Linked DNA regions of Mus musculus: region 2 is reported to be linked to region 1. Evidence: microRNA targets listed by miRTarBase, many of them from high-throughput screens and not tested one by one. Region 1 holds a microRNA gene; the other region holds the end of a gene's coding sequence.
Evidence for each region. Region 1 holds the annotated microRNA mmu-miR-3092-3p (GAAUGGGGCUGUUUCCCCUCC, at 2,815-2,835, opposite strand). A microRNA usually pairs through its seed, bases 2 to 8, with sites in the 3' UTR of a target mRNA and lowers its output. Matches are read on the target gene's strand: a 7mer-m8 pairs with bases 2 to 8, a 7mer-A1 pairs with bases 2 to 7 and ends in A, and an 8mer does both.

Region 1 (4,067 bases):
GAACTTACCTCATCTGGAAGGTTGTGGTGGGGCATCTGGCTAGGTGAATTTTCCATACCAGCACGATGATCTTCTGCTCTCCGAGTCTATGTGCCCTGAGGCACGTATCTTATAAGCACTGTTTGAAGGGTCAGGGATTCTCAGAGGCAGATGCTGTTCTAACAGGGACCCACAGTGACAGTGGCATGGGTTAATGTGGGGACAGGCCACCTGGGCTAGCTAGATTCCAGTCCTCACAACTGTAAGCTCCAACAACCTGTTCAGCTACTTAACTTCATTGATTTTTCTATCTGCACACAGGTGTGTAGCTAAGTGAACAAGCCTCGGAATACCACTATCCCTGTTAGTGAATAATGAAAGATTTCCAAAGTCACAAACATTACAGTATTTCAGATTTTTAAAGAAGCAAAGAAAAACAAGTCTTCACAGCTCTGGTTTTCTGGAGCCATCACTTATTATTAGAGAAAAGACGGCACTATTTTCATGCTCCAAAAATAGAAGAGAGTACCTGTTGCCATGGTGATCAGTGGTGGAAATAAGAGCAGCCTGCCACAGAAAATTTGAAATGGAAAGCCTAGCCAATTACCTATGAAGGGCATTGCAGGGGACAGAGCGGAGGTGTGAACCCCCTACAACTTTATCTCAAGTACAAAACATTTCTTCCTCATCCTGACAACTATGCTGTTACTATGACAATATAGGAATTAAACCTTTCTGCATTCTCCCTTTTAAGAGAGAACCATGATAAAACAGTAAATGATGTTTTAAAAATTAGAAACAACTGTGAGCATCAAGTTGTTATGATCAAAATGTATTATTTAGACAAGGTCACTATTTTCCCTGAGCAAATATTAGTGTTAAGGAAAATGCAGAGTTCCCCGGTTGTAAAGCCGAGCAAGTGTGTTCGGCTTCCCTGTTCTGCATGAGCACTCATTCCTAAGTCCCTTCTTCCAGCAGGTAAGGAGAACATGCAGCAAGGAAACAGGGGTGCACACAATAGAGCCATGAGCAAAGGCAAAGGGACACGCTGTATTAAAAGTGCCTCGGTGGAAGGAGGCGTGTGAAGACCCCCACACTAAGCATGTCCTGATACCCGGGATCTAGAATGAATGACCGAGAGCAAACCATCTACAGCGTGCTCAGTGTAGAGCCCTGGACTGGAAACTCACCGACCCCAACTTCAGCCTCACCACTCTACATAGGAACAAGCAAGGAGGACTGTGCTGGGCTACTCTGCATCAAATGCTGCTTCAAATAAAAATAGGAGGCTGTTGAGATGGCCCAGTGGGTAAAGGGCGCTGTTGCCAAGAATGATGGCCTGGGATCAATCCCTAAGAACCCCATGTTGGAAGGAGAGAGCCGACCTCTGTGTGTGTACCACAGCACATGCAACCCTGTGCATGTATAGAAACATAAAATGAAGTGCGTGGTGAAAAATTTAATAAAAATAAGCTGTTAGGTAGGACTCGATGTATATTCTTCAGGTTGAGTTCTAATTTTATTTTGTTTGTTTGGTTTGGTTTGGATTGGTTTGGATTTTGAGATAGGGTCTCTCTATGTAGTCCGGGCTGTCCTAGAATTCACTATATAGACCAGGCTAGTCTGGAACTCACTGAGATCTGCCTGCCATTGCCTCGAAAGTCCTGGAATTAAAGGTGAGTCCCCCCACGCCCGGTGAGGTCTACTTAATGGTAATACATATAGAGGGTTTGGTCAAGCATATCTGGATTTATCTTCAGGCCAAAACTCATCAGTGTTAATCTATGAGTTATAAAAATAACAAGGTCTTATATTTTTACTAAGGATCACTGTTGTTTGTATTCTGACACACATGAGAGAGCTGAGCCACACTATCGAGTCATATATTCAATCACTTCTGTAACCTATGACTGTCCCACTCAAACAGTGGCAAACACAAATAGTCAATGTATATGTAAACAAAGCAATTACTTTACTGTCTGCATATTATCAGTGCTGGATACAAATAAAGAGGCCACATTTTTAATGTAACACATTTCCATTTCTTAAAGTATTATATATATATATATATATATATATATATATATATATATATATATATATATATATGTATGTTTTCTTTTCAAGTGTGTTCTAGCCAGGAGTGGAGTTCACGTCTATAATCCCAGTACCAGAGGGCTCTGAGGCAGGGATACTCTGAACATAGAATAAGACCCTGTCTAGGAAAATGTAAAATAGAATTCCAATACTGATTATTTTCAAAAGGAGAAATTTCTGACGTTATAAACCAGGAACATAGAACAACTTCAAAGCTGATGCTTTCTTGAGACATGGGAACAACATTTCAGGCCTGCGTTCCTCTTATTGCTGAGTTTGTGTCCGTTACAGCTGACACCAGCTCCACATGCAGGCCGGGAGAATGTTCCCGATGACCTGGAAGGGCTCTCTGCATGGAGTGGTAAGGGTCACACCCAAACACCCTAAGCCGCAAGACCAGGGTTTCACAGTTCCTCTCCCTGCGGTGGTACAGTAAGTCGGATCATCCTTAGTTTGGAAGCTCAAGTCACAGAAGCTGGGTTACTTAATCCACTCTGGGTAAGAAGGAAGACACTAAGAAGCCACAGTGAGGTGCTGGTTGGGAAGAGATGACATCTCCATGGTGACTCATAGGAAGTGCAAGAGAGGACAGGGTAGGGGAAGCCGCAGAAATGGAAACTCTTGGACCTCAGCCTCACTCCACCTTCCCCGTGGAAGCAGCTCTGTACAAAGGAGGACGCTGGACTCCTCACTCTCCCCTGTCCTCTCAGCCTTGGGCTGGAATAAGATTGCAGGACAGGAGGGGAAACAGCCCCATTCCCAGACACAAAGATCAGGAAACTGGGAGAAAGGCATTTTCCCCTCAGGTCCAGCCTCTTACAGTTTTGCCAGGCCTTTGCAGGGCTATCAGGGCAGCCAAGGCGTCTGGGGACAGTTTCCTGTGAGGTCACCCCACATGTATCCTACCCATAAATCTTTAAATTTTGAACTGAACCAAAAAGATGACTATTTGAGATGCTTTTGCAAGGATGTCATCGAACAGCTCAGACCCCAAATCTGGAGTTTTGTTTTTTTGGTTTTTTTTTTTTTTTTTTTTTTTTTTTAAATCATCAGGATGGTGAAGAGAAACGCACTTCGGTCTCAGACTTATTTTGATTAAAGTGAAACAGAGGAAGGGACACAGACTCAACTTCTTGCAGTTTCTGTAAACAAACAAACAAGCAAGCAAGCAAACAGAGCAAATTGACTCAGCTCTGCAGGAGAGATCACAGCCCTTCTGCCAAGGGAAGGACAGACACAGTGAAGTAATTTCAAGAATGTTAAAAGCATGCCAGTCCTACAAGCCACCCTTACCCCCTCCCCACCCCCGCCCCAGCTTCCAGTCTTTCTTCTGAGATACACGTAAAAACTACAGCCATTCTCTTACCTCTCTCCTCTCCCTCTCCCCACCACTTATCTTTTAACATCTGAGTTCCCAGGTGACACGAAAGGCCTGCATGTCAGAACAGCAGCATACACACTTATACCCTGGATCTCTGAGAAGCAAAGACAAGGGATTCCCACAAAACTCACACAGCACAACTATTTCCTTATAAATAAAACAAGCAGAAAATTTACCAGATGGGTTGTCTGTCTTTGTAAACAACTAAATTCTCAAAGGCAGGTCAATAGACTCTATTCGTTCATTACATAACAATAGTTGAGTTTTCTCATAGCTAGCATAAGCATATTCTAAGTAGAAGGTTAATGGGATTACTGGAAAGCACCAGGAATCAGGTTCTGTTTATAAAATGAATACACTCCTTTTCAAATCTCAATTAAAAATAAAAGACACAGATCTCTGCAAAGCATCTAAATTTCTAAATACTTGAACACAGGTATGTAAGTTTTGCAGCCCTGACTATCTCTAGCTTCCTCAACAGAACTCAACTTTAAAATGCTGTTTAAAACACACAAAGGGCTTTTCAAAGGAGAGGTCCTTTTGCAGGAGAGAGTGTGTTCCATGTCTATGCAGATGGCTTGTCACTAATCAATTTCCAACTACCAGGCGT
Region 2 (4,060 bases), not on the chromosome of region 1:
CTGACCAGAGCTAGAGATACGATCTGCAATGATCTCTACATCTACGATACCCGTGAGCGCCAAGCTATCATTTGAAAGGGAGGAGAAAAAGACACAGCTAAAAATTACAAAACAGGGGTGGTGGGATAGAAAGGAGGAGAAATCAGTTGATGAGTTAAAGGAATGCAGTCCGGTTGTGGTGATGTATGCTACTCAGGAGGCAAAAGTGTGTGGACTGCTGAAAAACAAACAAACAAAAAATAGAGCCAGGCATAGTGATTCACACTTTTAATTCCAGCACTTGGGAGGCAGAGGCAGAGGCAGGCAGATCTCTGGTAGTTTTTGAGGCCAGCCAACTTGATCTAGAGTGTGAAACTAGCCAGGGTGACAGAGTGAGACCCTGTTTCAAAAACAAAATACAATAGACAATATAAATACTGAACATCTGAAAAGGCTGACAAATCAAACGGGAACGATGACAGGCATGCGTACTGGGTAAGGCCGGAGCAGAATGCCACAGTAACCACCTTCTGCTCTCAACCCACAGGCAAGTCTCCGCCTCTGTGGTTCCACTTCCCCAGTACAGACCGTGGACTGAAGCGCGTGGGCCATCGGACTTGCCTTTGGAATGACCAGCTTTATTTGGTTGGGGGTTTTGGTGAGGACGGCAGGACAGCTAGCCCACAGGTTTGCATCCTGGAATTCTTCATCTAAAGAACAGCAGGGAGGCACTCTGTGTTGTGGCAAACCTACAAAGCGATCTCATCAGAGCTATTGCCCTACTTCAAATACTTATTAAATTTCAATCCGAGAGTTTTGTCTCTGAATCCTTTAGAAGATTTATACATTTTACTTATATAAGTGCCCTATTTGCATGTACACCTTTGTGCCAGAAGAGGGCATCAGACCCCATTATAGATGGTTGTGAGCCACCATGTGGTTGTTGGGGATAATAAAACAGATGCCCCCTGGAAGAGCAGACAGAGCTCTTCACTGTTGAGCCATCTGAGCCATCTCTCCAGCCCTCTGAATCCGTTTTAGAAGAGCATCAAATAAACAGATTACTTTATTTGCAAAGGAAAGACCGAACTGAGGTTCCTTTCTGATAGTGAGCCATTAACCTGGTAGAAACAATGCAAATCATATTTTTTTGTTTTGTTTGAGACAGGGTCTCACTGTGTCTATATATAGCCTTGGATTACTGGGAACTCGATTTGTAGACCAGGCTGGCCTGGAACTCCGAGATCTGCCTCTTGTTGTCACCCAAGCACTAAGATTATTAAAGGCATGTGTGGCACCACACCCAGCTCTATGAGGTCGGTGTAGCCCTAAATGAGATAAAGGTTCAGGCTATAGCTAAGTATTTGACCAAAACATTTAATCAACAACAACAACAAAAACAAAATATTACAATAGCAGAGAAATAATAATAACGACAATAAAAAGAAATTACAAGTGGGAATCAGGGTAAAAAAAAAAAAACCCGCAGAGGCCTTAGCTCCTAAGAGACCAACACCCCTGCTGAGCTGGCCTTAGCCCCAGCCCCTTCTGAGTTTTCCTTGGCTGCTGGCTTCTCATCTTCCCCCATGAGACGAATGTTGTGCTTTTCCCGGAATTCGTTCAGTTCTTTGCCCTTTGCCTGAAGCTGCTGTGACAGTGTCTCAATGATCTTCTGTATCTAAGAGGCAAAAGAGAGGATGGAGAAGGAGTGCAGGTCTCCCTCCTCTGCCCCGGACTGTGCTACAGTTGGAGGCAGTGAGACAAGAACACAGTGGCTTATAAAGGGGAACCATCTGAGCTACTTATTTTCATTATTCTTTGATAATGTTATAAAAGCATATGATCAAACAGCCCACTCTCATCCACTTGCCACCAACCCATCCCATCTCATAATCGTATTTCTCTGTTTTGTTTTGTGGCCCATGAGTCTAACCTGGAGCACCCTTGTGGGAATGGATGGAGATACCCACAGGAGCACTAGTGGCTCACCAGCAGCTACATCACTTAAGACAATTACTGTCCCCTCTCCAGCAACTTTCCACCCTCAGTCCCTGCCCAGGGAGGGTGGGTTGCTTGCTCTTAAAAGAGCATTTGTCATGCTATGGTTTCTTCTCTTAGGTCACATTCATTTTTTTTTTAAGTGATTGATTTTTAGTTAGCCCAAGCAGGCTTCAAATCCGATTCCTCTGCCTCATCATCTCAGCAAGTTAAACATCAATGTATGCCACCCCAGTCAGGATTCTTTCTCCCTTTAAAAGGTCACTTATGGTTTCTTTAAGGGTCTGGTTCCGTGGATCGAGAGCTCTTAAGAAGCTGCATTTTAAACTGGTCCTTGGCTGGAGGTGTAGCTCAATGAGAAGAGTATTTAGCCTACTGCGCATGAGGCCCTGGGTCTGATGCCCAACACTGCTAAACAAGTTCTTCAGGAGATTCTGACTCAGGGATCCACAGACTATATTGTGAGAAACACTGCTCTACCCATTCCCTCCCCACTCAACCACATCAAAGAGCCCATGGAAAGGGCACACAGCCAACAACTCCTCACTTAAGGAGTTGGACTTCAACTTTGTAATAGTATAAAGGGCACAGTAGATAGCTAACAGGCTGCATGCTACCATCAACATGAATTCCCTAAATCCCTAGTCACCTACATTTAACCTCTTGGCTGCCCAAACGCCTATAGAGGAATTCTTGCTCACCTGCTCCTTGTTGCCCTCCAAGGCAGGCAGCACTTCTTTGACAGTCCGCTCCACCAGCACACCTCCAACCATGCGGTAGCACTTGCGGGTCTCATCCACTTCCTTCAGTGTATCGATCACCAGGCTAGGGTAGGAGAACAAGACCTCAGAATGCGTCCTGATCCCCACAAGCCTCCATCCAATCACTCTGTTTCTCTGCGGCCTTCCTACCTGTGCTCATTCAATTCCATCTCCAGCTCAGCTGCTTTGGAAGCCAAGCCCCTCTGTTCCTGCCGAAGGCGATTAAAGCCAGCAATTACCTAAGAGATGAGAGATGAGACCGTGAAAACACCAGAAAGTAAAGGCAGCCATAGGATGGCAAGTTACAAAGGCACAGTAGTGGATAGCTATCTTGGGAAGGGCATAGACTACATTCTTACTGAGTGCCTATATGTCTGAGATATTTACTAGTCACAGGGGGATTTAACAATAGATTTGAATGTGAGAGATGGGGGGGGGGTGAGGAGCCACTGGAACACCTACAAGAGATTTGCAGGTGAAGAGGGCTTTTTTATGTTTCCCTCCCCAACTTACTAATTTTTACTATATGTTCATGAGTGCTGTTATACCTGGAAGTTTGTATACATGTGTACCATGTTGGGCCTGGTGCCCAGGGGCCAGAAGAGGGCGACAGAGTCCCTGAAACTGGAGTTACAAATGGTGGTGAGCACTGTGTGTGTGTGTGTGTGTGTGTGTGTGTGTGTGTGTGTGTGTGTGTGTGTGTGTGTGCGCGCGCACCGGAAACTGAACCTGGGTCTCATCAAAATGTTTTAACCACTTTTCTTTTAAGTTCTTTTAACTACTGAGCTAGCTTGCCAGTTTGTCACTAATCAGAGACCAAGAGGGTGATGGGGTTATAGGCCTGATATGGGTACTGGAAATCAAACCTGGGTTTTCTTGAAGAGCAGTGTGTACTTTTTTAAAAAAAGATTTAATTATTTTATGTATATGAGTGTACTGTAGCTGTCTTCAGACAGACCAAAAGAAGGCATCAGATCCCATTACAGATGGCTATGAACCACCATGTGGTTGCTGGGAATTGAACTCAGGACTTCTGGAAAAGTAGTCAGTGCTCTTACCTGCAGAGTCATCTCTCTAGATGCACAGTGTGAAATCTTAATCATTGAGTCATCATCTTTACAGTCCTTTTTTTTTTAAAGACTTAAAGACTTTTTTAAAAAAGATTTATTTATTTATTATATGTGAGTACACTTTAACTGTTTTCAGACACACCAGAAGAGGGCATCAGATCTCATTATGGATGGTTGTGAGCCACCATGTGGTTGCTGGGATTCGAACTCAGGACCTTGGGAAGAGCAGTCAGTGCTCCTAACTGCTATGCC

Region 2: the mRNA of Klhdc9 is a reported target of mmu-miR-3092-3p. Seed matches in the 3' UTR shown: 8mer at 887-894.

What each region holds. Positions count from the first base shown.
Region 1 is chr3:27,582,101-27,586,167 of GRCm38, forward strand. It overlaps Mir3092 (microRNA 3092), which reads right to left and starts at 2,895; the gene lies at 2,800-2,895. The region is part of intron 3 of Fndc3b (fibronectin type III domain containing 3B); the gene reads right to left.
Region 2 is chr1:171,355,447-171,359,506 of GRCm38, reverse strand. Klhdc9 (kelch domain containing 9) reads left to right here. Exons shown (of 4, transcript NM_001033039.2): 3 at 1-52; 4 at 527-1,058. The coding sequence ends at 693. Pfdn2 (prefoldin 2) reads right to left here. Exons shown (of 4, transcript NM_011070.4): 2 at 2,889-2,977; 3 at 2,679-2,802; 4 at 253-1,657. The coding sequence ends at 1,481. Among named protein-coding and RNA genes, the nearest start is that of Klhdc9, 3.3 kb to the left of the region's middle.